Arabidopsis thaliana: one gene and its partners. The protein of the gene in region 3 interacts with the protein of the main gene of each other region in a pairwise test. Each region holds a gene or a part of one and is shown on either strand. Other genes may lie near its edges.

What was found. The genes of interacting proteins can lie anywhere in the genome.
Region 1: the proteins of AT3G53630 (region 3) and AT2G17670 interact in a two-hybrid assay, tested with the Arabidopsis thaliana proteins (one large-scale study listed by BioGRID).
Region 2: the proteins of AT3G53630 (region 3) and AT4G02820 interact in a two-hybrid assay, tested with the Arabidopsis thaliana proteins (one large-scale study listed by BioGRID).

The regions. Positions count from the first base shown.
Region 1 is NC_003071.7:7,670,803-7,678,578, reverse strand, and holds AT2G17670 (Tetratricopeptide repeat (TPR)-like superfamily protein), read right to left. Parts: upstream 4,261-7,776; 5' UTR 4,160-4,260; coding exon 2,768-4,159; 3' UTR 2,303-2,767; downstream 1-2,302. Other genes in the region: AT2G17660 (RPM1-interacting protein 4 (RIN4) family protein), read right to left, coding at 5,011-5,220; AT2G17650 (AMP-dependent synthetase and ligase family protein), read right to left, coding at 5,643-7,115, 7,200-7,538.
Region 2 is NC_003075.7:1,254,950-1,262,998, reverse strand, and holds AT4G02820 (Pentatricopeptide repeat (PPR) superfamily protein), read right to left. Parts: upstream 4,468-8,049; 5' UTR 4,419-4,467; coding exon 4,077-4,418; intron 3,991-4,076; coding exon 2,734-3,990; 3' UTR 2,303-2,733; downstream 1-2,302. Other genes in the region: AT4G02830 (uncharacterized protein), read right to left, coding at 1-118, 270-359, 457-552; FAF1 (FANTASTIC four-like protein (DUF3049)), read right to left, coding at 5,931-6,746.
Region 3 is NC_003074.8:19,880,392-19,888,445, reverse strand, and holds AT3G53630 (uncharacterized protein), read right to left. Parts: upstream 4,586-8,054; 5' UTR 4,461-4,585; coding exon 3,883-4,460; intron 3,357-3,882; coding exon 3,254-3,356; 3' UTR 2,885-3,253; coding exon of another isoform or gene 2,878-2,884; 3' UTR 2,508-2,877; downstream 1-2,507. Other genes in the region: AT3G53640 (Protein kinase superfamily protein), read left to right, coding at 1-1,439; PPa4 (pyrophosphorylase 4), read right to left, coding at 5,138-5,180, 5,308-5,389, 5,466-5,586, 5,669-5,734, 6,123-6,230, 6,315-6,380, 6,681-6,709, 6,820-6,955.

The DNA of each region.
Region 1 (7,776 bases), on a different chromosome or scaffold from region 3:
ATGGGATCTATATTTATGTAGCTACAAATTAAAGAGCATGTGCTTTGTGAAAAATAAATAAATTATATGGGAGGTGCATTTTTCACTTATACTATATAAGAAATGATAGAAAAGTTTGTCGTAATAATACTTTGTTATGCAAATAAACAAAAGAAAATTTATTAGAATGACCCATATTTTGAATTTAATTACTCGAATTACATTTAAAAATATAAATTATATGAGTAATATTTTGCTGTAAAATGTTTTTATTGTTTTGTAAAGAAAAATAATATTATAGAAATGCATTATTGTTTAATTCCAATATAGCTAAAAAATCAATTTATTTACGATTTTTATTTATTTATAATATTGTCACTCCGTCTTTTTGCTCGACTATGTTAAATCTGCGACTCTTGTTGTGACAAATTTATTTTGTACGTTAAATATTTGACAAAAGAAAATAATAATAATTTTTTGGTGTAGGTTGGCATCCGATCCAGAGTATATCCTTAAGTTCATGATGATTTGCATTGATCCTCTATCTTTGGTTACAATTTCAATGTTCAACATAAAAGCTTTTACGTGGTATCTTTTGTAATAGAGATGCTCCTAAGATATTAATGACACGCGAGTTTCTAAGATATGAACTAGACAGTAGCCTGTAAAAAAAAAAAAAAAACTAGGTAGTAGCCTAGACCACAACGGAACATTTAAAGTTTAAAACTTTTTTTAGTTTAATTTTGATAACATATATGATTTCATATCCTGTACATAATCCTCTTTCGATAAAATTCTGATATTACCCAAAATTTGGTTTACATATGATAGTTTAGCGGATATTATTTGTTTGTCGAGCCAAAAAAAAGAAAGAAAGAAAACAATTTTTAGTTATTACGTAATTTATTTGATGACTATAAATTATTTTAATCTAAGAAATATATTTTTAAATATTTATCTTGTTTAAGTGATGTTCTCATTCTTTTTATCTAAGAAATATATTTTTAAATATTTATCTTGTTTGTGTTATAAATCATATATTTTTTGTTATTGATCAAATACTTTCTTAAACAATAATTTATAATTTATAACACAAACAGGATAAATATTTAATTCACGTAGTTATTTAAGATGTGTGTATAATAACCTTATACATCACTTAATTTGCACATAGGGGATTAGCAAAAAAACAAAAGTGATTTATAATTGTGGCGTGATATATAGTTTGAGTTTAGTATTTTCTTGGCTATGCTCTTTACTTCTTTAGTTATAAATATTAATTATACGCTACATTTATAAAATTATAAATCGATATTAGAAGATATATGATTGGATTGAAACTATAAAATCATGTCTTCTTTACAAAAGCTACATCTTTTTTAGCACTCACGGAATTATACTGCTCAACAGAGTCTCTACGTTGAATGACTAGTCTTCTTCATAAGCAACCTAGCTCATAATGGAAACTCCAAGAGTTATATTAAGCTCTTGAGCAATTGTGTCTGTCTTAAATATTAAAAGTCTTAAAAAAATGAGGATCTTTGCACCATTGTCATTGTTTAATTATCTCTCTGTGACCACGAACACGGCAAGCTCTCAGATTATTCTTATCATCTTGTCTCCATAATTGTCTATTATTGCTTCCTTCATATTCTCTAGAGTACATAGTCATAGATATGCAAGATATATATAAGAACATGACAGCTAGGAGTAACTTATACTAAAAGAAAAAGCTGGAGGCTATGATAATCGATAGATTACACAATGATGGTAGGCGAATCATGTATTCGTGGACCTCGCGGTACGTACATTTCTTCCTAATATGTATCTATTTCCGTAGCGTTCTATTGTTTAATGGGGGAGACAAAGAAACAGATGTTGCAGCAAAATACACTAGATAATGAAACATGACAGAAGAGAAATCAAAATAAACAAAAGAGTTTATTCACCAAATGATTAGAATTTGGTCATAAACAATGAAATAGACTAATACCAGAATGTTGACCACTTATAAATCTTCTTCATGATTCCATTAACGTTGTCCTCTGTTTTCTTGTCCCCCTCAATGATTTGGTTTGTACTTTGTAATTCAACTGATAATTCACAAATACTCTGCACTTGGGCTGCTTAGTGTTAAAACAGAGCATATAAGAAAAGATTGTTCAAGAAGATAATAGTCTCTTCTTGCAGCCAAACAAGAGAAACGATCTCTTTATTCAGATACTCTGCCTGATTTAATACCCCAAACATATAGCGTAATTGTCAAAGCAAATATGATTTGCTTGATCTCTCAAGCAACAATCCCAGGCAAGATCAATAACCAAAATTGTTCACAAGAAACAATCTTTACTCAGATACTCTGCCTCATTTACCCCAAACAGATATTGCAATTGTCAAAGCAAATATTATTTGCTTGATCTCTCAAGCAACAACCCAAGGCAAGATCAATAACCAATTATGGTATTCACAATAGCTCATAAGAACAGAGTACATGACACTGAAGGCAAGAAGCTGATACAAACAGAATAATAGAATATGACTGTTCATATAGAAACACAGCAACAACTTTCACCCAATCAATAACTCGAGTGTTAAGGAAACCTTTAGAAATCTCAAGTGACAATAATATTACCAACAAAGTTACTATTATAAATCACTGCTGGTCCCTTAAGAATCGAACAGCATATTTCGAAACAAATTCATTGCTTTTGGAGTAACACTACTTCAAAAATGAAATATGGACTTGCATAAAGAAGAAAGTCGGTAAAGCTCAGCTAGAGGATACCATTTATGGAACCAAGCCTTGTTCTTTAGCTTTTTTCAACCATTTCAAGGTAGTTTCAAGTGTAGAGTACGCAGAAGCATCTGACAAACTCTTGCTATCAACTGCATAATCAAACACTTCATAAGCCTCTGCGACCTTGCCACTTTTAACCAGAGACCTCACAAGTGTAGCATAACCATTACTCTCAAGCTTTACACCACTTGATTTCATCATTTCATATAACTCCATCCCTTTATCCATCAACCTTGCTTTACACAATCCATGAAGCAAAGTATTATAAGTACAATCATTTGGAGCACACCCTCTTGCTTCCATTTCTTCTAACAAACTCAACGCACCTAAAGACTCACCTTTTCTACACATTCCATTCATCAGTGATGTGTAAGTAGCAGTATCCGGCTCATACCCCGCATCAACCATAGTTTTCAAATACATCCTAGCTTCCTCAACTCTACCAGCTTTCGACAGTCCAAATATCAAAGTATTGTAGGTAATCTGATCTGGCTCAACACCTTCTTCCTTCATTTTCTTATACACACCAACCGCCTCACTCCCTTTACTCAGTGTGCAAAAACCTTTCATAATCGTGTTATAGAGGAAACAATCCGGCTTAAACCCAGCATTACCTAACTTACTAACTAGATACATTGCCTCCCTCAAGTTCTTAGAGTTACAAACATTATCAATCAAGATAGTGAAGCTAACAAGATCCGGCTTAACATCGAAATCATCTCTCATCTCATCAACAAACTCATAAACAACATGAAGATCTTTGCATTTGCACAAATGCTTCAGTAGAAAGTTATAAGTATATGTATCCGGAGGAGAGTGTTTCTCAGTGAGCTCCTTCATCAAATCCTTAGCTTCATCAACCCGACCCGTTTCGCAAAGAGACCTCACCGCGATATCGGTAGTTACTTGATCAGGCTCTAAACCATTATTAACCATGAGATTAAGAACTCTATGAACATTCGAAATCGACGAATCAGGAGCTCTACAAGCATGTGAAAGCAAGATAAGGAACGTTGAACGTCCCGGCCTGAAATTAGGCTGCGATTTCAAAATATGCTGAAAGAGTTTCACCGTATCGTTGACGACGGCGATTGAACCGTATGATTGAAGAACAGAGTTGTGGAACTTGAGATCGAGTGGGATTCGTGAAGTGGCGGCGATTGAATTGAAGAGGCTTTTAGCGTCTGAGAGATTTGGTGACTTGAATGGATTCCTCAAGGAGGGCTCGCGAGGGGCTTGAGTATTCTGGGGAAGTTTGGCTGAATCTCCTCCCACGGCGGTTCTGTTGCGAAAATCTCGCGGCGGCGCTGGAGGAGATGGTGTTGTTTTTCTGACCAATAAGTTCGCCGGCATACTACGAAACGACGACGGAACTTTCCCCATTTTTTGTTTTCTTTCGATTGATCGCAAAAAGGTTTTAGCTTTAGGGTTCTTGCAGAGGTTTTTGTGACTCTGTTGTGTTGAAAATGGACAGAGGACGGCGTATAGTAGTTACACTCGTGTACTCTAGTTGCTTACGTTAGCAAATGAGAGAAACCGTGGCAAGACATTGGGCCTATTGGGCTTGTTAATATCGGCCCAAAGTGTGGGTGAAGATGCATTTTGTCTGTTGTGTTGAAAATGGACAGAGGACGGCGCATGGTAGTCTGTTGCTTACGTTAGCGAATAGGAAAAACCGTAGAAATACATTGGGCCTATTGGGCTTTTGAATGGTAGCCCAAAGTCAGTTTGTGCGATAGCCTCTCTCCCTCAAGGCCTCAACACAGTATTTTCTTTGCTTTCTGTACAAGTTTGTGGGCAAAGCCCTAAAAACAACAATCTTTCCGCAAAATGTTCTCTAAAGAACCGAAAGATCTTCTGTGTTTTCTCAATAAACCCCATACAAGAACATTGTTCTACAGACCAAATCAATAGAGATTAAAGAAAGGTTTTGTAAGGAAGAACACATTTTGTATGAATTTTGAACATGTTCAAGAGTTTGTGTTCACCTCAATATCTAAGAGACCTTTTTTGTATGACTTTTGCAATTCTTTAATCAACAACTACAATTTTGTTGATTTCCAAATGACCAAATGCAGAGATTTATCATTAAGAAACAAAACCTCAGAATTTGTTTTATTAGATAACTAAAAACGAAATGAAATGTTCTAACACAAAAGTTGTCAAAGGGCTCATAAGGCTCAAAGCTACATTCTCTTAGGATTAAAACTTACTCAACAAACAAAAAAAAAAGATTAAGCAAAAGTGAAACAGAGCCATTTCTTGACCGCTGGTTTATCACCATCTTGTTTCCTCTGTGAATTCGTCTTCGTCGAACTCCGTCCCGTCTTTTTATCTTCACCGGCTTTGCTGAATATCACCGTGAATCCATCCGCCGTCGCTGGATCATTCACATCCCATTCCCCGAATTTCGGCAATGCCCTTCCAGCTTCATTCGACGCCATTATCGATCAAGAAAGTAACAATCTTCTTCTTCTTCTTCGTCCTCTTGTTGTTGTTGATAAGTCAGATGGTTTTGTTTAAAGATTCTAACACAGGATGCAGATTTATTTATAATGGAGAGAAGAGAGAAAACAGATAAGTAAGATTGTGCTTTGAAATCTTCCTACGAAATGGACTCGTTTCAGACACGGCGGAATATTCTTTTGGCTACTTCTTTCTTTTTTTAATGTCTTAAAATCTTTCTGAGGCACAAAAATAACAAAATCGTTGGCCTTCCGCGTAACAAATCTAATTATAGCCAAATCATATCCATGGCTGATCTGTTTCTTCATTTTCACGCGGTGGTTTTATGATTCTCTGATCTTTGTTTCCTTACATACACACATGAACCAGAGACTAAGCTTTTTTGTTTCTTACATGGCGATTACAAGCTACCCATTTCATCAGCTTTCTTCCTCAGAAGATACTTTTGTACTTTCCCCGTCGAGGTTTTAGGTATGTCCCCGAAAACTATAGTCTTTGGAGCCATGTAATGCGGCAAATGATCTCGACAGAACCCGATAATCTCCTCGGGTTTGATGGTATCAAATCCTTCTTTCAGCTTTACAAAACCGCAAGGAGTCTGTCCCCAGTGATGATCTGGACGTGCTACAACAGCAGCTTCAAGAACCGCTTGATGGCTGCACAAAACTCTCTCAACCTCCACTGAGCTTATGTTTTCTCCTCCTGAGATGATCACATCTTTTAACCGGTCTTTTATCTCTATGTACCCGTCTGGATACTTAACAGCGAGATCACCACTGTGGAACCAATCTCCCTCGAAAGCTTTTCGTGTTGCCTCTATGTCCTTGAAATATCCACTCATCACAGTGTTTCCTCTGAACATAACCTCACCCATGGTTAAACCATCATCAGGGACAGTCTCCATTGTCAGCGGATCTTTCACATCGAGCCCTTCTAGACCCAAATGCTGCACTCCTTGTCTAGCCTTCAACTTAGTTCTCTCCTCCAACGAAAGTGAATCCCATTCAGGTTTCCACACGCAATGTGTCCCTGGACCGTATGTCTCTGTCAAACCATAAAGATGAGACACATTGAAACCTAATTCTTCCATCTTAGCCAGGATCTGCGGTAGAGGCGGTGACCCACCTGTCATGATCTCAACCCTGTGAGGAAGCGGTTTATGTTCAGTCACAGTATAGTTCACAATCATATTCAACACAGTTGGGGCTCCTCCCATGTGAGTCACTTTATGCATAGCAATGTTCTTAAAGATCATCTTAGGAGAGACTTTCCTGAGACAGATATTAGTACCACCTTGAGCTGCTACTCCCCAAACAAGACACCATCCGTTACAGTGAAACATCGGCACTGTCCATAAATACACCGGATAAACAGACATCTGGTGAAGAAAGACTGTAGCAAGAGAATTGAGATAAGCTCCTCTATGGCTATACACTACACCCTTAGGTCTCGAAGTCGTCCCTGAAGTGTAGTTTATACTAATAGGATCCCATTCGCATCTCGGTTTGATTATCTCAAACTCGCTATCTCCGGATTTAAGCAGAGTTTCATATTCGTAATCAAAAGAGTACTTTGAAGCAAAGGTAGATGAGCTATCTTCATCACTATCATCATCATCATTAGACTGAGAGATCAACACAAGCTTCAGACTTTTTCTAGTTTTATCTGATTTAGCAAGAAGATCAAGAGCTCCATGAGCAATCTCAAGTAACTGATGATCAACAAAGAGGATTTTGGCCTCGGAGTGTGCTAACAAAACCGACAATGTGGAAGGATCAAGTCGAGTATTAAGCGGACAAAGAATCAAACCAGCCATAGGAACAGCGAAATGAAGCTCATGCATAGCTGGAACATTCGGAGCTAAAGCTGCAACCTATAAAAGTTTCCTCTTTTATCACTAAACCTAAATCGAGAACCCTAATCAGAGCAGAAAATTGAACAATTTAAAGAGACTAACCACATCGCCACGAGAGATTCCGAGATTGGTAAGAGCAGAGGCAAGACGGAGACAACGTTGATAAGTTTGGAACCAAGTGTGTTTAACGGAACCAAACACAAGAGAGGTTCTGTCTCTGTAAACCTTAGCGGATCGCTCCAAGAACGTGATTGGAGATAAAGGAGAGAAATTTGCAGGGGAACGGAGAAGACCCTCTATAGTTCTCCATGATTCCGGCTCGGAATCGTCGGGAAATCCGCCGGAATTTGAGGTTGAGGAGAAGGGAGAAGAAGTTAACCACAGTCTCTGGAAACGTGGGTTGAAGATTCTGAATGCTCTTTTGGTTAACAAGAATCTCATGGTTAACACTTTGATTTGGCTGTTGTTCGACTTCTCAAAAAAAATTGAAACTTTATTGTATCTGTTGAAGTTTATCAAGACGAGTTTGATGATTCTCTGTTGTGGGAACTCATCAGATAATGACAGTCGTGCTGCCTCGTGATTAACGAACGGTGTGTGATTTACTGAATGGAAAACATTACAAGTTTCAAATTCAATTTAACGGATATATATATACTTTTAAATTGAATGCTTGCAA
Region 2 (8,049 bases), on a different chromosome or scaffold from region 3:
GAAAAACTCCGGTGCCAGAAGTTGTACGGCCCGGTGTAACCAAGAAAAATGCTTGCATACGATCCTCTCCTTTACTCCTTTGCCAATTGCTTTGGTGCTTTTGTCTTGTATTATAGTTCTTCAACACACAAAAATATATATACAAAATATTTGAGCTTTAGTTTGAAAATATATAAGATATGTTTAAATACATACGTTAATGTCCATAATGATATTTCCTCCAATACCGTTAAGAGATTGTAACCAAAAAAAAGATTGAAAAGAAATACCAAAGGAAATGTTTGTCTAAGAGGAGGTGCCCCGGGCCGACGAAATTCACCGTTGCCGTGGTGATGGTGGTTCTTGACATATTTCTGCAACTATGTGAGAATTTAATTAACAACGACTTCGATATAGAATAGGAGAAAAAAATAACAAATTCAAATAGAAAAAATTTAGATATAAGATAATATAAACCTGATGTTTGTTGGAATGATCAAACAATGGATCTTGAAGAACATGATGAGAGGGTGGCCATATTTGCCTATCCTTGTGACCGATGATGTCACCCATTTGAAACTGACCAAAAAGAAACTTAAAATTTCAAAAGTATTAAACACTTTGAATTAATCTTAGAAGAAGAAGAAGAAGAACATTGAGAGAGACTCAATGGAAATGTTTCTTTGTTGACAAAAGAAAGAAGAGAAGAGGTTTTGATTGTCCCCAACTTCTGACCTGAATCTTAACTATAAATATTAATGGGTTTGGAAAGTAGAAGGAGAGATGATGACGACAAATTTGGTTTTATAGAAAACTAATTATTATGTTGACAACAAAGAAGAGTTTCAATGATTTTATTATTTGAATTTGGTTTCATCATTACTACGAGGATGAAACGAGAGTTACACACCCTTTCATTTCAAATTTTCGAAACAAAACAAAAATAATCATATCATTTTCTACTTTGGAAAGTGTTTTTTTTTTACCATTATTCACATAAACCGCGTGGTAACCGTGAGGTAACGCCAATATTAATGAAAACTACTAGACTATAAAGTTTTACTATTAGAAGCTTTTGTTTGTTGCAATTATTCATATAAACCGTGTAGTAACCGTGAGGTAACGTCAACATTAATAGAAACTATTAGACTATACATTTTTTTACTATGGAAAGGTTTTTATTGTTATCTACGACTCACATATTTTCTACAACCACGTAAAATTCACATGCTAATTTGACATTATTTGACTGATTTTTTTCATTTTTAAACTGAAAAATCATGCATCAAAGTCCATGGTAATATATGGATATTTACTTCCAGAAGAACTAGAAGTATTTTATATTGTTTTGTTATATTATATAGAGTTTCTAAGAAAGATTAAGGAGGTCATGTCGGGGAGTGGGTTGAGTTGTATTAAGTAAACGCCTCTCTCATATTTTTAATGACATTTTTTAAAATGTTTAATGCTTTAATTTAAATTGTTCCTTAAACTTAAAAGAACTATAACTTTGACCTAAACTACAAACTAATATTTTTATCATTTTGTTGTGATTTTTTGGCTATACATCAATTCTATCGAGAACACATAAAACTAGTATCAAAACAAACCACATTTTATCAATTTGTTGTTATTTATAAGCGAATTTTGTTTCGCATTACTTGTTATTGATTGTCTCATCCTAGTATTTCTTTTATATATAGCCAATCACTTTAATTCGTATTTCTTCAATGAGAAACCAAAACTTTTCGAGGATTGAGTCTAATTTTGTGTAAACTTGTATTTTAAAAGCTCTAGCTAACTATGATATAAAAATGGGCAGAAGAAAAAGTAACATTTATTAATTATAGTCGTCTACTATCCCATAATCCATATCTCTCTCTATATTTTTAATTTTATTGAAAAATAAGGAAAATCAAACGACCAACGACGCCACTTCTTCTTAACAACCTTCACCAACCAACCCAAGTTCGTCGAACTTCTTTTAAGATGATTTTATTAGTTGATGATCTTTACCTCAAGTGGGCTCTCTATATCAAGATTAGTCGTGAGACTACATGACTACTCGAGGAGATAAATTTAGTAATTAATAATTAGTATGGGCGGCTAGCTCTAGCCTGCCAATTATAGTTTTACAATTAACCATCTACTTCAATTAAAATAAACCGAGGAATAAGATTCAAACACATCCAATGCTAAGGTTTTATGGATACCCAAATCTAGTTTACCTACCAGCTTTAAAAATGCTATAATAATTGGTGAATAGTAGAGCCATGAAAATGTTCATGTTTTAGGAAAAAATTATTAAGCTTTATGGATATGGGTTTATGGTTAAAATAGTTGACTAAGTGTTTGGAGGTGAACAAATCCACTTTGGACACAAGTCTTTGAAAGCTTACATAAGCTTACACAAGTCATAACTACCCAACAAGAAGAGTCGAAGTAGGTTTTTCAGTTAGTCAACCTCTCAAAGATCATTTGACATCATCAGAAGAACTATAGAGAACCAAAAATATAAAACGAGATTTTAATCATATTAAATTCTGAAAATTAAAAAACAGGAAAAATCATATCTTTGTAGCAACTTCATTCCTTAGCAGCTTTGAACACTCTCCTCAAGGTCTAAATGTCCGAGTAAGTGGAATGTTACTGCTTCAAGACGAGTATCTCGATTGGTACGGACTTGAGAGAACGGTTTCTGTATTCTTCGGTTTGTGGAAGTTGCAGACTGAAACTAACTCTGTAGCTTTCATACTAAGAAATGGTGGACGAGATTTCAGTCACACGCATTTGACTGGTTAGTCTTATAAGCTCCTTAGTCTCTTCATCTAACTCTACATTATCCTTTGCCATTCGCTCTTCAACTATGAGTGCCATTTCCCCTGCTTTAGCGTATGTCCGTAACAAGGAATTGTAGAGCTGAGTGTTCACATAACCAGCCTTTTGGAGCAGAGTCATTAGCTTCTCTGCTCCTTTAACATTCCCTTGTTCCTCAAGTTCCTTGCACGCTCCTTTAACCAATCTTACATTCACAGTCCATTTCTTCACAGAATCAATAGCTTTCCCAAAACAATCTAATACTTTCTCCATGTCTTTACGCTTCAAATAAGCCCATGTGAGAATTTCCCATGTAGAATAGCTCGGGTTTATCCCTTTCTCCACAATCCGTTCGTAAAACTTTTCTCCTAGAAGAACCTCATCTCTGTTCATGTACTCAGCAAGGATTAGATTCGGGATTCTAGCATCTCCTGTTCCCGAAACAGATTCCCATTCGTCATACAAACCTTTAGCTTGTTCAAACTCTCCAAGCTTCACAACCGCAGATATCATACTGAGATACTCCGCATCATTCATTTTCTTGAAAGAAGACTTAACCTTCTTCCAGGTTAAGTTCACTCCATCTTTGTCACCCAAATTCGCATGCAGACTAATAAGAGAAGCATAAGCAACCCGGTTCTTCTTAGAAACCAACTTCTCCATCTCCTTCAAAGCAAGTCTCGCCTTTTCGACATTATCAGTCTTAGCATACAAATTCGTTAACACACTATAAGTCACCCAATCCGGATTCAACTTCTCTTCCTTCGCCTTAAGATAAACTTTCTCCGCACCCTCGACATCATTTCCAGAAGCAAACGCAGTAAGCCAGAGATTATAAGTAACAATATCAGGAGATGTTCTAATCTTCAACTCCTTAATCAACACAGGGACTTTCTCAAACTGTCCTCTCGATATATACATCGATAACATATGATTGTAAGGCAAACAAGACTTCAAGAAACCACATTCACCCATTTTCTCAAACAATGCCTCAGCTTTATCAGACAACTTGTTCTGCACATAGCTATGTAAAAGAGATGTACACGCAGCATGACCTCTCATTTGATCTGGCATATCTTCGAAAAACTTCTCAGCACTGTTTAAACCACGGATTTTAGATATCAAATCCAAATGTACAGCATAATCACCTGCTTGTAGCTTTATATCTTCCTGTACAACCATCCATTCACATATCTACACACACACACAAAAAAAAAAACATTTTACCACTTCGCAGAGTTTTCACAATCGAATTCAAAATTGAGAGAAATTTCACGAACCTCAAGAGCGTGTTTATAGCGTTTGATCTTACGAAGCTCTCTAACGATACGATTAAGTTCGTATTTGCGAACGGAATGGCCTTCTTCTTTCCATTTACGGATAGTAACAACGGCGCTGCGTTTCGTATACACAAGGCTTAGTAATCTCCCTCCTAGAGTGTCTCTTCCTCCAACTACCGTTTCTTTTTTGTTGGCCGATTCTCCTCCTTTTCCTCCTCCGCTGCGAGGCTTCACCACGGGTGCCGTCGCCGTGTCCACAGTCGCGGCGGCGGCGGCGGAGAAAAGGCGGTGAATGGAGGCTAGGGTTGGCCGGGCAGAGCGAACCAACATGTTTTTATTCATTTTTGTTTAGTTTACTGAGCTCTCTCTCTCTCTCTGCTGTTTGAGTAATTTGCTAAGTGAGTGTGTTTGAGCTATTTCTTTGTTGGGCCTTGTCTCGGCCCAATCTAAAACCAAAATAAAAGCAGTACATAAAAGAACTTTCAAAATTTTCTCTCAGTCAATAAAAATCATTCTAAAATTAGTAGTCATTAGCCTTATCAAAACTGCAACACTTTGGTTAACTTCACTAGTTCACTGTTCACAACAAATAAGAACTAATTTTCCTCGTCAAAACGTGATTTCACATTTTTCGCTAAATACGTAATTCCATAATTTTCCCGCCAAAAACGTGATTCCAAATTTTCCAGTCAAAACTTGATTTCACATAATCTCGTCAAAAAGTGATTCCGTAGTTTCCCGTCAAAAACACAATTCCATATTTTTTTCCATCAAAACTTGATTTCGCATAATCTCGTCAAAAAGTGATTCAACTTGAATTAAAATATAAACATGATTTTTTTTTTATAACATTAAGTATATGGAAAATACATTTTCTATATTGAAAATAAAATAAAATCGAATCATCAATATACCAAATAAGATGGGTACATGATGAGATTTGCTTTAGATTTCGGTCAATTATAAGCGGAGTCAAGTGGCATGTTATATATAAAGAATCGTAATGTTCTCTTATTCGTTTGCAGAGAACAAAGATTGCTCTTCACATTTGTACGTAAGATTGGACATTACATCGTAATGTTGTCTATTTCTCATTGGCTCAATCATATACTTGCAATCTATTTTGATATCACTCCGAGATTTATATAGTACGAATTTGGTCGAGACAGAGGGAAGAATATCAAGAAAGTAGAGAGATCGTGTACAATGGACCTACAAATTATATGTTCTTATTCAATTACGTCCGTACGAGCAAGTGTCTATAAATATGCACACGTGACAGTCAAAGAGTTTGGTCTACAATAATAATGTTAAAGTTATTCGCATACTCATAAACGACATTTACATTACTTAATTTTGTTGAAAATTGTAGAAACCTTTAGTTCTTATAAAAGACTTAAATATGAATTAATGACCATTTGATGGACTGATGGTTGATGATAAAAGTGTGGTATCCCTTGGTGCTACTAAGACTAGTGATGACAATAACATTGACATTGACTGCGCTTAGAAGCACAAAGATGTGTTGCAAACTAGTGTAGATGATGTTACCAAAATTTCAATGAAGTTTTTTGAAAGATATCATATAGTTTTCGTCAGTCTCACTATTACTGGTACTTTATTACCCTTTTTAAAACTATAGTTTCACTCTCGTTAGTCTATGAAAACATAACTAAAACTCTCGTTAATAATCAAAGGTTACCTATAACATACTAAAAAGTAAAAGCAGATAATGAAGATTAGTTCTCTATGTTGTTAAACAGTTTAAGTAACAATTAACTCACATTTTAGCATTTATATATGTAGAATTAGAAGCCGTAAAAAATAATTATTTGCTGAGTTGAGTAATTCCCATTAAGTGGTCACCCAAAATTGCTGCTGCTTCCAATTAAGCATAGTTTTAGGCTCACATCCATTTTCATTGCATCTCCTTTTTGGCCTGTTGCTAACCTTTTTATTTCCACTTTTACCCTCAAAGTTCTCATTATTCCCCACAATGCCCTCCTCGTCCTCTTCTTCTTCTTCTTCTTCTTCTTCTTCTTCTTCTTCTTCTTCTTCTTCTTCTTCTTCTTCTTCTTCTTCTTCTTCCTCTGCATCGTATTGATCATCTTCATCTTCTTCTTCAAACTCTTCTTCTGCGTCTTGGCTATTCAATGAATTCTGTGATAAACAGAGACGAAGCCTTCCTTCACGACGTTCAGATACAAAGCAACGAGGTGGAGAACAAACCCTAATTGCTTGAACAACAAGACGACCGTCTTCTTTATACGATTTCACCATACGGCTATTGTTGAATCCGTTGACGGAGTTTAGCGGCGGAGGAAAACTGTTCTCACGGGTCATGAAGCTAGTTTCTTTTTGAGGTTTCGTAGTAAGACGAGGACTCTTTGAAATATTGGTTGCTTCAAGCGCAAGTAACGACATCTCGTCTCCACTATCACTCCCATTCTCGGTCCCGAGGCTCTCTGTGCACATCTCAAGGCTCAGTTTAGCTACGGAACGCTTCTCGATCGGGTAGACATAAGCTGTTTTCTTTGTGTCGTCTTCTCTGTTCTGGACAATGCCTTTTGGCTCAGAGAAATATTGCAAGAAACTCCATCCACCCACGTCAGGATTTTGGCTTACTTGCTTGGGAAGATGTTGGTAAGCTTGGCCAACAACGATGGACATTTTTTGTGTTGTGTTAAGAGAGCAAAACAGAGCAAACACAAAGTAAGAGAGAAAGAAGAAGAGAGTTCGAGGAAGAGTATGGGTGTGTGATGAAGATGATGGGAAGTAGAAGGGATGAGTTTGTATTTATAATGCGGTTCTACTTTAGATTGGAGATTTATTTTATGATTTCCAATTAGTTTCTTGAACATTTATTTATTTAATGTAATATTAGTTGGATACGTGGATTGGTAAAAAATAAGAATTCTGAAAACTCAATTACATTAAAAGAAAGTTTTTTACAAATTACTACTACCAAATATGGTAGAATCATCATTATTTATTTTTAATTTTAATATTTTCTTTAATCTTTTTTTTTTGGCCAAATCTTTTTTTTAATCTATGATTTACGTTTAATGATAAAAATATTAATATTATATCACTTCATTCGTTTATAAACTAAATTAACTTTTTGTTTAGTGTATTTTGTTATTGTGATTCATAAGTTACTTAGACAGGATTAAACGAACAAAAAGTTTGTTATTATGACTTTATGAGAAAACTATATTAAACGAACAAAAAGCTTTCATTATGTCAACGAATTATAAGTTTTAATACTAGTTTAAGGACAACAAGGAAAGGTATCATTAGAAATTTAAATATTAGTGATTATTATACTTTTAGTAGCCGGAAAACGAATATCGATTTATTCTAGCAACCGTGGTCTGAAAACTATTTCAAGTTTTCTTAATACTTATTTATTTATTCCAAACTATCCTATTTATTTCGGTCCAATGAAGTCTCCAATAAATAAAACATAAACATCCAGTGACTATAATTTAATATGTCTGAGTGACTGAACACCGACCCACACGTACACACACTAGAATGTTATCAAAATTATTTGTTTACATCATTGATCATTACATGTACTAATGTGTAATGGATATTGTAGTCTATAGAATTTGCTTAAGTCATTTGTCAAAAAACCTAGATGCGTATAATAGGTTTTCTTGATTTGATATTAGAACATGAGGTTCTTTGACAAAACAAAAACAAATATGAGGTTCAGAGGTTAAATCAAGTAGAGTGGTTTCATAACGAAATTTGATTCTATATTGGTCGGAAAAATCATTATTATAGCAAAAACATTTTAAAAATCGCATACCAAACACTAGGTGAGAACTGAGAATTATAGTAACATAATATGCACTAATTATTCATTGATTGTATTTTGGGTTTAAATTGAAACTATCAAACATAACCACGAAAATTACAAGCTCTGATCGATTAAAAACATATATAATAGTCCGTAATTTATGTT
Region 3 (8,054 bases):
AGGGCAACGTTGAAAGGTCTGAAGTTGATAATGATGATGACGGTGAAGATGTTGTTTGGGGAGTTGAAGAACAAGAAGCTGCAGAGATGAAAAGAATCGAGGAAAGCAAGAGGATTACGCAAGCCATATTGGAGAAATATAAGAAAAAGTTGGAGCAGTCCTCTACTGTGGCAGATGTTCAAGCTAAAGCTGGGTTGGATACTGAGGCCGTAGATGGTGAAGTCGCCAAGCTATCTTCAGCAGTTGGGGAAACACCTGCACGGCTTGTGATATCAGACTCAGATATGACACTAGCTTCCGCAGGCAGCCCAAAGAGTGACATGTTCAGTGATGATATCTTTGGGGAGTCTCCTCTAGCTGATGGTACTCGGAAAGGGAATGCACTTGTTCCTTTTGTAAGGAGTGGACTCAATGATAATTGGGATGATGCAGAAGGTTATTACAGTTATCAGCTTGGTGAACTACTTGATGATAGATATGAAATCATGGCTACTCATGGGAAAGGTGTATTCTCTACCGTGGTGCGTGCAAAAGACACAAAACCTGAGCTAGGTGAACCTGAGGAAGTGGCTATAAAAATTATTCGGAAAAATGAGACAATGCATAAGGCTGGCCAGGCTGAGATTCGGATATTGAAGAAGCTAGTTTGCTCTGACCCAGAGAATAAGCACCACTGCGTCCGTCTTCTTTCAACTTTTGAATATAGGAACCACCTTTGCTTGGTGTTTGAGTCTCTTCATCTGAATCTCCGTGAAGTTGTGAAGAAGATTGGTGTCAACATTGGTCTAAAACTATATGATGTTAGAGTGTATGCTGAGCAGTTATTCATATCCCTTAAACATCTCAAGAACTGTGGGGTTCTTCACTGCGATATAAAGCCTGATAACATACTAATGAATGAGGGAAGAAACATGTTAAAGCTTTGTGATTTTGGTAGTGCAATGTTTGCTGGTGAAAACCAAGTTACACCATATCTTGTTAGTCGTTTCTACAGAGCTCCAGAAATCATTCTTGGACTACCCTACGACCATCCGTTAGATATTTGGTCAGTTGGTTGTTGTCTGTATGAGCTTTATAGCGGGAAAATTATGTTCCCTGGCTCCACAAACAATGATATGTTACGCCTGCATATGGAACTGAAAGGTCCCTTCCCTAAAAAGATGCTTCGCAAAGGAGCATTTATCGATCAACACTTTGATAAGGACTTATGCTTCTATGCTACAGAGGAGGATAGTGTTACTGGAAAGACAATAAGGAGAATAATGGTCAACGTAAAGCCAAAAGATTTAGGTTCAGTAATTAGACGACGTTATGAGGATGAAGATCCCAAGGTGTTGGTTCATTTCAGGAATCTTTTGGACAAAATTTTCACACTTGATCCTCAAAAGAGACTTACAGTGTCACAGGCATTAGCTCACCCATTCATCACGGGCAAGTGAACCTCATAATGTTGTTGCCCTTGCTTGGATACATGTACATTCTATATATTACACAATTAATTTTTTGATTAAGATTCTAAAGAGTGTTATAATGACGATGTTGTTCTTAGAATCATGATTCAGTTTCGACAGTTGAAAAAAAATGTGACGATTTAATTTAAGCTAAGGGTGTGTGGATCAAAATTGCATACTTTTTTGAATTTAGTGGTTAAGAAAATCAATGCTTGATAGGACTGTTTTTTTTTGTCTACATCATTGTTTCATTGCACAACCGAATATACTTTATGTCTGCAAACATTGTTTTGCTTTCAACATCTATTTTCTGAAGACATCGCTTTTCAATCTTTGTATTTCTCTAATATCTTATTTCTTTTTTCATTTTATTTCTACACTTGACATTTCTTTTTAACAAAAAAAAATATATATGAGAATATTTCGTGAATGACTATGATTCTGAATGGTGAAAACTCACGGCAACAAATGAAGAGTAAGAGTTAAAGAAGAGGAAATTGTTATTTAAGCGAATTTTTGTAGAACTTTTGCATATCAAAACGATTTTTAAAGAATTTTAGAAAGTGGTACGTATTAGAAGTGTTCACACACATATATTTATAACATTAAGCATTATATTATTAAAAAGTTATAATTAAGCATATAAATTTAATACATAGATTATAAATAGAGTAAATTTGGAAAAATACCTTTTTCTTCATTTTTACGTTTAAATATGTAAAATCAAACTTAATAAGATTAATAATATCTACGTTACAAATATCAAATCAATTTATTTGTAATAATTAAAGATTTAATTTTTACAAAGTCTTAATATAACTAAAAATTCCAAAAAATTATTATCTTAAATATTATTTTAAAACAATAATGAATAACAACATTCTACCATGGGTATTGGGTACGTGTGCAACACATGTGCTTCCCAGTTCTTACCGTACATTTAGTTTGGTAGTTTGTACGACTTTCCTCATTATATTACACAACGTGATTTTAAATCCGATATAATACATACTATTCACCAATAAAAAAAAAAGGTGAAATCTTCATTGGAAGTACTCGAGATTTGAAAACGATTCAATTAAATTTCGTTATCGAAAGCAGAATTGTAAAATGAGCAAAACATATGATTCTGATTTAAGAACACAAAATAAACAAACATGGGGAAACTTGAAAGCTTCCGAGTTCGATGACCATGCATTGTAATCTTTTCTCTCTTCATTAACATGTATTGTAAATTTGGTTCAGAAACAACTTCAGATGAATTTCTTAAAGAAAACAGATTCACCCATGGATTTCCCGGTTTAAATAAAACGGAATAGAACCCGTAGACCCACCAGCACCTTATGTTTTGTTGTCGCGAGTTGTTCACACATCTGAAATCTTCCCGAACAATGTGACCTCTCCCTACCAAGACGCTCTTAGGAACTTAGACCCTGCCAGTTCACGATGAACCACGTAAGTTCAGTGATCGATTCTAAACATTTTGAGTATGTAACCGCAAGATAATCAAGTTAAAGTTGGAATCTAAAGTGAAACAAGAGAATAATCTAATAGATACTTGGAAGAGGATGGATATCCGAACAGAATATGAAAAGGCAAGAGTAAGATCAAGCATTACTAATACTATTGAGTAGATTATCACACCACAAGCTTAAAATTCATCGTCTTAGAACTCTCATTAAGTAATGTAAATGGATATCGGAAGATCTAGATGTGGTCATCATATGAACATTTAAACAACATTCTATATCAATATTTGTGGACACCGTAAAAATGAATATTCTTGGCATGAAAATCCCTGACTAATATAGTGAACTGTATATGAAAGCAATTGATTTGGAGATCGACGAAGTCTCACTAGTCACATTGTGAACTAAATCGAGTGTCCAAAACAGCATTGAAGGCCTAGAGCAAGGTAAAAAAGTTAACAAAAAGCATTGTAAGAACATGCAGTTTTATCATACATATATGGGAAACAACTATCTAATATGAATTGAGGAGAATTAATCGATCGTATTTAACGACCATGTGTTATTTCGAGACAGAAATGCAATGACCACAATCCACAACCACACATTGGCCTAACCTGTAACTTCATTCAGGAAACAGCAAGTGCTGAATTCACTACTGGCAATGATCAAAAACTATCATTTTCCAAACTCTTTTCATCAACTTATTGTCTTGCAACGAAAAAGAAACTGTAAAAGCAAACTAAAGGCTTCACCATGAGCGAATCAAATTTCAAAACAGAATTCGCTAACAGCAAAAATCATCCAAAACATATGAGCCATTGTTATATTTCTCACTGAATACATACTCTAATACATGACCTAAAACTTTGATTAGCCAACCCTAGATCAATGAACAACTAAATCATCCCGAAAGCAACACAGAATGATAGAAAGTTTAAAAGGAGTTGTAAGAAACAAACCTTGAGGAACCGATGTTGATGTTGTTCCTATGAAGAATCCTACCAGGAGCAGCGTCACCACCATCGATCAACTCTCTAAGCCCCAAATTCTCCACCTCCTCTTCTTTCATCTCCTTCTTCTTCTCCTTCTCCACACGGCGGTTATTAGGAAGCTTCACAGGCAACCTCTCGAAGTAATTCCCGTAGATATACTCAGGCGTGTACCCATTCTCTTCATCAAACAACATGATATGACCATGCCACTCCCAAACACGATAATCCGATTCCTCATCCTCATGAAACCCAACGCAGATGTGGTGTTCGTTGACTGTCACGGCTTGACCTGAATTCGGCTTGAGAGAATCGCTTCGACCAGAGACGATGACTCGGATTAGCTCTTTCTCAAGCCTAGCTTCTTCTCTGTCGAGACTGGTCTGACCTTCTCCGTCATCATCGCCGTCGCTGTCGTCGGATTTGAAGAGGAGGTCGTCTAGGGATTGAGAGAGGAAATGAGAGTTAGGGGGACGAATTTGGAGACGTCCAAGTAGGGTTTGGATTAGGAGGTTGTCGATGTTGCTGTTTCCATTGAAGGAGCTCATCGTTGATCACAAATCGAATCGATCTTCTTCTTCCTCCTCCGATTTTCGTCCTTCTTCTACCCTAAGAGGAGAAGAAGATGCTCTCTCGGGTTTTAGGGATAGGAAAGGGTTTTTGGTTTTGCGATGACGGTTCATTGAGGTAAACGTGGTAAATTTCAGAAAAGGTAAGGGCTAAAATGGTAATATTCATTTAGATAGCATCTGATCACAGATTTGTAAATTGAACTATGGAATTTAGTTGGTTTTAACAAAATTTAAGCAACTTGGGATGGAATCTGAAAGAAAAAAAAAGAGTATACTAAAAGAGAGAAAATTAACACGTATAACATATTGTGAATAAATGACATACTATAAGGTTTTAGGGAGGAATCTTCATCTATTCTTTGATGTATAAAAGATCTAATAGAAGAATAAAACTCAAAAACAAATTGATTAAGATGAGAAATGACACCAAAATTTAAAAAGTGATGACCACAAATGAGAAAAATCCCTGTTTTAGTCTTTGATTATCGGTTTCATACGACAAAAAAAAAAAAGAATTATCGGCATCATCTACCGGATTCATCAGAGGACATACACAACAAATATATCCTTTGAGAAGCCTGACATTTATATGTATATTTATATTTGTGAATAATGCAGTTGTGAGCTTTCATTCCATTGCTTGAGGTGGTGATTCAACGTCTTAGGTTCTCCACGACGTAGTCTGCATAGAGATCCCTACATGACACAAAAGAGTTGTCCCAATTTGATTAGTTAGTTATTCTTTGATATAAACAAATTGCGGCTATTTACAAGGTCATAATATATGAAGTAAATAACAGTAAGTTTCATGAAGGCTACTTACATGGAATGCTGAACTGCGTCGTAGGCTGCAGTTGCCGGAAGGAAGTCGTTAACGGCTACTTCCTTGTTCTCGTTTTTCTTATCTGCAACAAGATTACAAGAGTATGAGCCTCATATCATCCTTAACCAACCAAAAGTTTGTAAGAAAAGAACACTCACAGTCTTCAAAGAAACGGCGGATCTCAGCCATACGATGAGGCGGAAGCTCACTGATGTCGTTGTAATGGCGATACTCTGGATCGTCAGCGCAGACAGCAATGATCTTGTCGTCTTTCTCACCCTATTCAAGCAGAAAGAGCTTCTAGTTTCAATCTCTGTTACTTTTATAAGTACTAATATGACAAGTACGTTGAATATCTAACCTGATCAATCATTGGCATCAGACCAATAGCTTTGGCCCGAAGAAAGCATCCTGGGATCACCGGTTCCTGTAGAAAATATTCAACAAGATTCACATGAGATGTGTTTTCTACCAGTCAAATAAGACAGACTGAGATGCTGATGATGCTTATAGACTTGATTGATTAATAAGAGGTTTTAAATTCCAGAGTAAACACTAGAAAATCCACACTCTAAACAATATGCTGAGACACCTTTATAAGCCTAGCAGCCACTAACTGCTCGATAACTGACTGGCAACATTTCTCATCTGCTACATTCATTCCTAAGCTACACAGTTATAAAGTAGAGTCTATAGCTAAGAGTTGAGCGCTTGAACTTCTTCAAAGCTTATCAGATGCACAAATCAAAATAGAACAAGAAACATTATGTAATGAATTATGCAGGTTCTCAAAATTGTATGAAAAAATATGTTACCTGCATAATGACAAGAACATCAATAGGGTCACTGTCCTCACAAAGGGTACGCGGAATGAACCCATAGTTGTGTGGGTATACGACAGATGAGTAAAGAATACGGTCGACCTGAGAATATGTGTAAAGTTTAGACAATCGTACCTCTAATAATGAAAGGGACAGCGAAGAAAGTTAATGCAATCAAATTTATACCTTAATGAGACCCGTAGTTTTGTCGAGTTCATATTTCACCTTGCTCCCTTTTCCTATCTCAACCACCTGTAATAATGCCTCCGTATGCTTGGTTAATGATTCCCACAACAATATCTCAAAGATTAAACCCATAAAATGGTTTCCTAATCAGGCGATGAACATCATTTCATATGCTACAGCAGACTCAATTCAGGTTTCAAGATATATAGCCAATGAATGTTTTAATTTTCTTTGAGTGAATGCTACAAATATGTAAATTCTGTAGAAATAGTAAACAACTGCAGCATCTCCGAATACGCATAATGGCAGTTTTGTGACAATATAATTAAATATTTTCAATCCTTAGAGCTTTAGCAAAACACTTACACAATTGAAGATAATTGGGGCTTCAGGTCCTGTAAACAAAGGAATGCGAAGCAAAAAAGGTATAAGAGTTATTACTAAAAAACAATGAAATGATCTTAGAGCCAAAAAAAAGAAAAAGAAACCTTTACGTATAGCTTACCTATCTCGAGATCATGCCATGGGTGTGCAGCTACTGATCTGTGACTCATGGACGAAAGTATCCTCTCATTAAGAGTAGGAAGTGAAACATGTTTCTCAACGTAGCTTTTGGTAGAAACCTCAATCGGTGGCGCCATTGCTGCAAAACAATGCACATAACAATTCATAAACAGAACAACAACCATAATATATGCATCTCTGAAAAGCAACAAACACAAAATATGGGCTCAAACTTTACAAATGTTTTAGTTCCCCTAGATCATGGAAGATAAAACCATATTTTCATGAATTATACTAAAGATCTCTGTGCATAAAATAAGTTAAATATATAAATAACAATCTTCAACACCTGGGGAAATCAATTGAATACACACAACGCAATGGTGGACACAGAGACACAAGATACAAAATCTAATAAAGAGAAAGTTACAGAAACGTCCAAGAAACGCATAATTTTTGCAGCAGTTCACGAATCCATAAATGTCTCCACCGACAAAACCGTTCCCACATGTGTATAAAGCGAGCAAAAGATCAAAATTTTATTTATACAAAAAAACAGGGCACTCTCTTGAAATCATCTTCAGATAAAAAGCAATGGGCCTTAAGAGAAACGAGCAAAGATTTTCTCTTTAATGGAGTTTGATAATCTAAAAATGTAGATATACATCACAAAGATTGAATATTTTGGAACCCAACTCAGATCTACAAGTCACAAAGATCTCTCGGGGGAACAAAAAAACTCGTTCATGGCTTATGCAAACAGATTAAAGACACCCAATCCCAAAACCCTAGAAACCTTCCGAGGAAGAACAAATCCGATTGAAAGAACATTTCGAAATCCGTACCTGAACAAATCGACAAATCTGAAATCTCCCGAGATAAAGTGTCGTCGAATGAAGAAGAAACGCAAGCACAGATCTCAAGAAGGATAACCCAAAGGAGAGAGAGAGAGAAGCAAGTGTAGAGAGAAAAGCTAAAGGAGAAGAAAGCTGTGACTAAACGCGTTCCCGCTCTATGTCTCTGCTTCTGTGCTATTTGAAGACTCCATTTTTTAGTTTAGAAAGAATATTAATATTTTTCTGGAAGGAAAACAATAAATTAAATTCTCTTTAATTTTGGAATATGTCCGGACCCGAAAGTGTCAATGTGGCAAGATTTTATTGGATGATGGAAAAAGAGACATAGACGGAATTCCTAACGGCGGTGGGGTCAACGTAAGGTTTGGCTGTCTGATAC